Danio rerio: one gene and its partner. The protein of the gene in region 1 purifies or fractionates together with the protein of each later gene. This does not show direct contact. Links are inferred from orthologs where the notes say so. Each region holds a gene or a part of one and is shown on either strand. Other genes may lie near its edges. The genes, in order: hsd17b10 and trmt10c.

Evidence for each region.
Region 2: the proteins of hsd17b10 (region 1) and trmt10c purify together in Homo sapiens (co-immunoprecipitation; 3 studies listed by BioGRID and IntAct, counting the BioPlex papers as one, with this or other methods). This does not show direct contact. The link is inferred for Danio rerio from reciprocal best matches to the Homo sapiens genes HSD17B10 and TRMT10C.

The regions. Positions count from the first base shown.
Region 1 is NC_133198.1:21,272,995-21,276,758, forward strand, and holds the end of hsd17b10 (3-hydroxyacyl-CoA dehydrogenase type-2), read right to left. Parts: intron 3,558-3,764; coding exon 3,429-3,557; intron 1,598-3,428; coding exon 1,489-1,597; intron 1,409-1,488; coding exon 1,218-1,408; 3' UTR 823-1,217; downstream 1-822. UniProt on the Homo sapiens protein: Mitochondrial dehydrogenase involved in pathways of fatty acid, branched-chain amino acid and steroid metabolism. Acts as (S)-3-hydroxyacyl-CoA dehydrogenase in mitochondrial fatty acid beta-oxidation, a major degradation pathway of fatty acids.
Region 2 is NC_133176.1:786,163-790,683, forward strand, and holds the start of trmt10c (tRNA methyltransferase 10 homolog C), read right to left. Parts: upstream 2,963-4,521; 5' UTR 2,769-2,962; intron 1,360-2,768; 5' UTR 1,357-1,359; coding exon 1,093-1,356; intron 956-1,092; coding exon 677-955; intron 1-676. Other genes in the region: txnl4b (thioredoxin-like protein 4B), read left to right, coding at 3,264-3,395. UniProt on the Homo sapiens protein: Mitochondrial tRNA N(1)-methyltransferase involved in mitochondrial tRNA maturation. Component of mitochondrial ribonuclease P, a complex composed of TRMT10C/MRPP1, HSD17B10/MRPP2 and PRORP/MRPP3, which cleaves tRNA molecules in their 5'-ends.

The DNA of each region.
Region 1 (3,764 bases):
ACAATATAAATAAATATACATCTTCGGATTGGCTATAAAAAAAACACAAAAACAAGACCTGATTATAATATGAAGGTAAGTGCTATTAAAATTTGTCAGGAAACAGGAATCATAATGCTCGTATGATGACTGCATAAACCCTTCTAAAGTGTAAAGACATTAATGAGCGCAGTGTAGCTTTAGGGTGGACTTCAATAAATGAAACAGAGATCATAGTGAAACTGCCACCCTGTGAACAGAAATCAATCAGCTGTGTGTGTGTGTGTGTGTGTGTGTGTAAGGAGATTTACCAACATCAATCTGGGTTTACTTTAATTATGCTCAGTCTGTTCCGTAAAGGATTTAGTATGACTTGTGCACAGCTGCCAATACTTTCCAGGGTTTTTTTTTTTTGTATGGTGATCGCAATGTGCATGTAATATATAATAGGCACGTCTTTTTAAAAAATATAATAAAAATAATAAAACCAATGCAAACATTCACAACCATCAAAAACATTTAAGAATGTTATTTAGGGAATTTAAAAATGTATTTTAAACATGTCTAACGAAAAATAGCATTTAAAATATTTAATAATGCTTTGATATTAAAACCTGTTACCCTTTTGGTCATAGAGAGGGACAATATGAAAAGGTCACATGAGACTTCTGTGCTGATTCAATCAAAACAAGCTCAATTCTGCCCTCTATTGGTCGTTATTCAGTCTACTCTAACTTTTTAATTTGAAGTGTCAGTAGTGCATTTATGAAGTATTGGTGAATAAATGTAGACATGATTATCTGAATAATAATATTAACAAAGTCTATATGGTGCAAAACCCAAAACCATTCAGCTTGTTTGTTTATTTTAAGTTGTGCTTTTCTTAGATTCATTCATTACAACCCATATAATGATTTACAGTTTATTTTACAGGAAACGATATGTGGACAGATACATTTAGCTTTTATGGCAAAGTGATGCTTGTAGAAATGCATTTACTATAGTTCAGATCATAGAGTCAATGGCAGAGCAGTGCAGTCACTATACACCACATCAACCAAAGAATACATCCATCTACAAGATTTCCAGTGGTTAAAAAAAAAAAAAAAAACACTCACATATTCAAAGTAGCATTTTCAATCAGATTGAAAGTATCCTGAAAATAATTAATACACATTCTTCAGCCAATGTTCTGTTCTGTTCTGAGTATTTCACCTGGAGTTTCTAAGTTTTTCCCTTCAAGGCTGCATGCGAATGGCTCCATCCAGGCGGATCACCTCACCGTTAATCATAGGGTTTTCTGCTATTGAAGTCACAAGGTGTGCAAACTCAGCTGGATCTCCCAGACGTGACGGGAAGGGCACCTGTCTGGCTAGGAAACTCTGCACTTTCTCTGGTAAACCTGCTAGCAGTGGTGTAGCGAACAGGCCTGTGGGGATAAAACAAGGTCACAAAACACTAAGTTAATGAAGACAAAGTTTGAGCAATCTTCATCTCAGTGTCACTGACCTGGGGCAATAGTGACCACGCGAATGCCCATCGGAGCGAGGTCTCGAGCGATAGGAAGAGTCATTCCTACAATGCCTCCCTTAGAGGCGGAGTATGCAGCTTGACCCACCTTAAAACACACATTACAGAAGCTGTAGTGAAAACTGCTTAATGAAGCTTCTAAGCATTTACAAATGTTTCAGCGGTTTAGAGCACATTCAATTGTAGTTTCAGTAGCGTTTCAATTTGTTTTGAAAATGTTATGATTCTCAACTGGGGCGTCCAGGTAAATACCAAAACATTCACATGATGATTGACTCGGGTCGCCCCCAAGTGGTGAACTAAACAACTTTCAGTGTTTTTTTTTTTTTTTTTAATACAAGAATAAAAACATCACTGCATTAAAGAAAAGATACAACAACAAAGAAATAGGAAAGGAAGAAAAAAAAACTTTATAAAGCCTCAATATTATCATAAGCTTTAAAAAATCGTATTATTTTTATTATTACTAATAAGCTTAAGCGAATCAATATTGTACGAAATTTCAGCAAGGACAGTATTAAATATAGGTATTGTTTTTAGGAACTTATTTTTATGTATAAAACAAAAAAACACAAAAAAAAAATTTACAATAAGATCAAGAGCATCATCATTACCTGAGAAACACAGAAATATATATTTTACAGACAAATTTAAATCATGTTTAAATAAGGACGATGAATAAAAAATAATGCTATTCCAAAGATGTTTAACGTAAGTGCAACTATAGAATAAGTGAATATTGCAGAAAGTACAAAAAATAAAATATATCAAACTAATTCGCAATTTGGTAATAGGCATATGGTGTTAGGCATAAGTGTTTTCCTCTCATTAAAGTAAAGAAAAATTTAAAATAAATCCACATAACTTTGTGACAAACTCTTTATAACACAGATAAAGGATTTGGCTGGCAAATTATACGGAAATTATACAAATTATACAATGTCATAAATTCTTCATATTCCAGAATATTGCCACTATTTTTTTGTGCAAAACAAAAACAATTCCTCTTTCAAACCACATATCAATAAAAAGATATTTCCCACGAATTAAGACATTAGTGTTATTCCAAAAAATGTCTTTGTGTGGTGAAAATTGTGCACGTAATTAATAATTTCCAAGAAAGTAAAGCTTGTTTGTGAAAGTTAGAGAGGGAAACTGGCAATTTAGAAGGGATGAAATTACATTTTAAAAGAAAGTGTAAGCCACCTTAATTTGTCAAATATAATATTGGGAATATAGTAGCAAATTGAGTTATTACTACAGAGACGGGTTCAGTAATTTTTACCTGAACTCGGATCAGTTCTAAGATACATTTGGAATTTAAAAGACTAATAGTGAATAAGACCACAATAGAACAAGCAATATAAGCCCTAAAAATGTTTAAAAATACATATACTTTTTATGATATTTAATGATAAGCTGTTTGTATTTGATAGTTTAAACTTTAAATGAACCATTTACAATGTTTAAATAGGCCCATTTTAAAAGGATGATTTACCCAAAAATCTAATTTACTCTCCCTCATGTAGCCTTTATGGGACTCTTTTCTTTGTTGAACAAAAGAGGAGATAATTTGAATAATGTTTGCTGGTACCCATAGTAGCAAAAGGAAGTACACAAATTACTATGCTAGTCAGTGGGTACCAGCATTTTTCAATATATTATCTTTATAAGTTTTGAGTAAATGGCATTATTGTAATTTTTAGGTTAACTTCTTTAATGCATGTTTGGCTTGAGTTTTTGCTGTATTTGCACAGAATGCTTCAAAATATTTTTAATTGTTATAAAGCTTTGCAAAGCTTAAAGTCTCCCATAGTTGAATATTTGAAGTGCTTATGTTTAAAAGCTCAAGGAGTGCAAATATGCTGATTTGGCAGTCAAGAAAATGACCTGTGAATGTTAGCTTATGTGTGAGTTACCTGGCCATCATAAGCAGCCACACTGGCTGTGTTGACGATGCAGCCTCGGTGTCCATCAGCATCAGGCTCATTCTTTCCCATCTCGCCTACAGCCAGTCTGATTACATTAAATGTCCCAGCGATGTTCACCTTTCATAGTTAAGAATCAAAACAAAATATCATTGTTTATGTTCAGATTTCCTCCTTTACTTCAAGTACTAACACTTTAGGGAAATTCAACCTCACTGTATCAAAAACAAAACAATTACCTTAGGATAGCTAGGGGAACATCGAATTTTCACCCACTGAAAATTATCTACACCATTTAGAGTTCAATGTTCAAAACAGCTCAATATT
Region 2 (4,521 bases), on another chromosome or scaffold:
ACACTACACACACATTTAGACAAACACAAACATTTAAACACAAACACACACACATTCAGACACTCAAACACTACTCACACACACACACACTCAAACACTACTCTCTCTCACACACACACACACACACTATCAAACATTACACTCAGACACAAACACACACAAACACTACACACTCAGACACTACACACACACAAATGTAGACACAAACACACTCAAACAATACACACACACACACACACACACTCAAATATTACACTCAGACACAAACACACACTCAGACACACACACGCATTTTGACACACAGACACAAACATACACTCAGACACACTACAGCACAGGTGTCAAACTCAGTTCCTGGAGGGCCGCAGCTCTGCACCGTTTAGTTCCAACCCTAATTAAACACACCTGATCAAACTAATTGAGTTCTTCAGGCTTGTTTGAATCCTACAGGTAAGTGTGTTGGAGCAGGGTTGGAACTAAACTGTGCAGGGCTGCGGCCCTCCAGGAATTGAGTTTGACACCCCTGCACTAGACACTCAGAACTACATTTACACTCAGACACAAACACACACACACACACACAAGACACTGCACACACACAGAAAGTAACACACACACTCAAACCCTACACATACACGCACACTCAGATAAAGAATATGCATCAGCACACACTCACCGTCCTCCAGTTGTGTGCGCTCTCGATGGAGTTGTTGCGGAGCCTCAGCATGAAGGTGTTCTCGGGGCCTGCGGCTCGCTCCTCCTCCTCCTCCTCTCCATTATTGTTCTGGAGTTTTCCCGCTTCTCTCTCAGCTCTCTTCTTCTCCTGCTTCCTCTTGTCGTTGTTCTTCTGCGCCTCCTTGATGGCCAGGAATTTGAGGTATTTCTTCTTGGAGGATTTAGTGGTGAGAATGGAGAGTTCCTGCAGCTGCTGATCCGTGATCACCTTCGGCACCAGCTGCACACGTGGAGGTATACGTGTAGAAATACATACATACATGCATGTGTGTGTCAATGGGGCAAAAACAGCACCAACATCACCAAAGAGGAGTCAATCTGAGGGGGATTTAAGGGTTATAATAAGTGTAGCATCACCTTTCCAGCTTGATGCCAGGTCTCCACCAGCTCTCGGTGCGCCTCCAGCACAGACGCAGCCGATGTCGAGTCCTGGAGATGCGGAGGATCTTCCGGCAGAGCTTGAGCTCTCATCACAGACTTCCAGATGTCCAGATCCAGCTTCTCCTCATGCTGTGGGTCATCTTTGAGGAGCGTCCGGCTGCTGCTGAAGGACCTGACGGAGATCTGCTGACACACACACATCCGTCTGACCGGCGGGAAACACCAGCGCAGAAACATCATCAGCTGAGGAGAGGAGAACAGCACAGAGATCAGGTATTTAAAAACTCTACCACTGTAATCCAGCCATTAATCAGATCAGATCCATTTCAAGATCTTGTGACTGAAATGACAACAGAGCAGTGAAAAGTGTAAAACAAAAACACACTGGCCACTTTATTAGGTACACCTGTCTGACTGCTCATTACCGCAAATCTGTAATCTGCTTCAGCTCAAAGCGAGCATCAGAATGGGGAAGAAAGGGGATTTAAGAGACTCTGAACGTGGCATGGTTGTTGCTGCCAGACGGGCTGCTCTGAGTATTTCAGAAACTGCTGATCTACTGGGATTTTCACGCACAACCATCTCTAGGGTTTACAGAGAATGCTCCGACAAAGAGGAAATATCCAGTGAGCGGCAGTTCTGTGGGCGCAAATGCCTTGATGATGAGGTCAGAGGTCAGAGGAGAATGGCCAGACTGGTTCCAGCTGATAGAAAGGCAACAGTAACTCAAATAAGCACTCGCTACAACCGAGCTCTGCAGAAGAGCATCTCTGAACACACAACACAAACACAATTTGGCATCAGAACATGAAAGCATGGATCATCCTGCCTTGTATCAGCGGTTCAGGCTGGTGGTGGTGGTGTAATGGTGTGGGGGAGATTTTCTTTGGGTCCATTAGTACCAATTGAGCATCAACGCCACAGCCTACCTGAGTATTGCTGCTGACCATGTCCATCCCTTTATGAGCACAGTGTCTCCATCTTCTGATGGCTACTTCCAGCAGGATAACGCAGCATAAAGCTCAATCATCTCACACTGGTGAACATGACGATGAGTTCGCTGTACTCAAATGGCCTCCACAGCCACCAGAGCTCAATCCAATAGAGCAGCTTTGGGATGTGGTGGAACGGGAGATTGGCATCATGGATGTGCAGCCGACAAATCTGCAGCAACTGTGTGATGCTGTCATGGAGCAAAATCTCTGAGGAATATTTCCAGCAGCTTGTTGAATCTCTGACACCAAGGATTAAGACAGATCTGAAGGCAATGCGGGTCCGACACGGTACTAGTGAGGTGTACCTAATAAAGTGGCCGATTAGTGTACATCAATATATATTGCAATATGCTTAGTTTATTCTGTTCATCTCTAACAGTGTTTGTATTTGATAAAAACAGAATCTAAAACCTCATCTGTAAAAACGTTTATCGTGTCAACAAATGCAAGAGAATTCTGAACCTGCTTCATTTAATCTTCTGATTTATGTTCGGTAAATTACTGTATAATTAATTGTCTGATAACTTATTAGTATATTTAAACATAAGAAATATCAAATGACATTGTAGTATACTGGTTAACATAACTAACCTGTAGTGCCTCGCATTAAAGTAGAATTATTACCAAATGTTCGCGGTATCATTCAGAAATACTCACTGTTGGGGAAAGAAAATCAGATTAAATCAGCACTGTGACGCCCACCCCCGTCCTCTTCAACCCCTACAACATTATTTACACTTTAATTAAAGTAAATCTCTGTTCCACATCAGCTGCTGGCCAGCAAGTCCACTCAGAAGTCACTACAGGACCCTCAAAAGGACACACGCGCTGTTGGTGTCATGTGGATGTCTGTGTGCAGCAGTGAAATCTGACCGTGCGAAAATCAATATTAAAAAGATGATTTGTGTACACATTTGTGTGCAAATACTAATATTAATCTTATTTTAAATTATATGTTTTTTAAATTTTGCATTAGTAATAATATGCTATTTAAGTGAAGACACGTAAACTGTGTTGGAACAGTTGTTGGCGTTTCTAGTCGGTTCTAATATAGTGTTGTACCACACATTAGTAAACATCCGCAGGAGTTCGCGCACACCCTCCTCCATGTTAATTCAATTGATAAGTGGGTTTTATTTTAATTAAAGCGTCATGAGCCTTTTCCTCCCTAAACTGTCGAGTAAAAAAGACATTGATGAGGCGATTAAGAGTGTCGCTGAGAAGGTTCTCGTGCTGCGCTTCGGCAGAGATGAAGATTCGGTGTGTCTGCAGATCGACGAGATCGTGAGTCGGTTATTAGTCATCTTTAATCATTAACTAATGGGTTAATTAACGTTAATTAATATATATGTTTACTCTGATGTCCGTATCACTCTATATTAATACATTAGTGAGTATAATATATGCTCTCTCTGTGGTCTGTATCGCTTTATATGTACGTCTGTACGCATTATAATAAGCTTAATAATTATTATCAGCTTACTAATAATGTCTTTGTGTACTCGAACAGTCACGTTGTATAGATATATGTATGTTTTAGGCTGTAAGAAGTTGTTTGGTCTAAACAAAAAACTAATAACTATAATCATCAGCCAGTATCAACAGTTTGATGTTCAAAAATCATATTATTTAGAGAATAAAGTCATTTTCAGACCTATTAAAAGACTTGTTATTTAATGATCACGGTTTGCCCCCCAAATACTCATCAAAAGTCAAATGAAATCTTTGTTTCGTGTCTCTATCTTTCATAAACACAAGTACAGCTCAGATTAAGCATGTTGTTTATTTCTGTTTATACCACAGCACAGTTGAATGGTCACTCTCAGGTGTTTGGTTATTGTCAGATAAAGGCACAGCTAAAGTAGTTCCGACAGGTTTACAGCTTCATATCACTCCGCTGAATGATTAGAGTTATTTCACAGCTACAAGAAATCACAACAGAAGCCTTCAGAGGAGATGTGGAGGACACTAGTGCTACACACAGAAGCAAAAACCTGACAAATACACTCTCAAACACAACATCTGAACTGTGGATTTAGCTGAGAATAAGCAGAATAATGCACTCCTCAATATTGAGTTATCAGTATATAATGCACACTTGTTTTTCTGTTAACTCAATGAAGATTCATCAATTATTACTTGCATAAATAAGTTACATGTAATAGCGGTTATTTAAACTAAATTAATTTTAAACACTTTGCTTTCATTTAGTATATATTCTATGTTTATAATCACTATGTGTATATAATGAATCTATTTGTGATTAACATTTCATGTAGTCACTTGAGTTTGACTTGATCCACGCATGTATTTCACTTAAATACCTCGATTTAGTTGGCTATTAAAGTATCTATTATATACTTGTTAGATTTGTACAGCATTTTATATTCACATTAGTGCACATTTGACA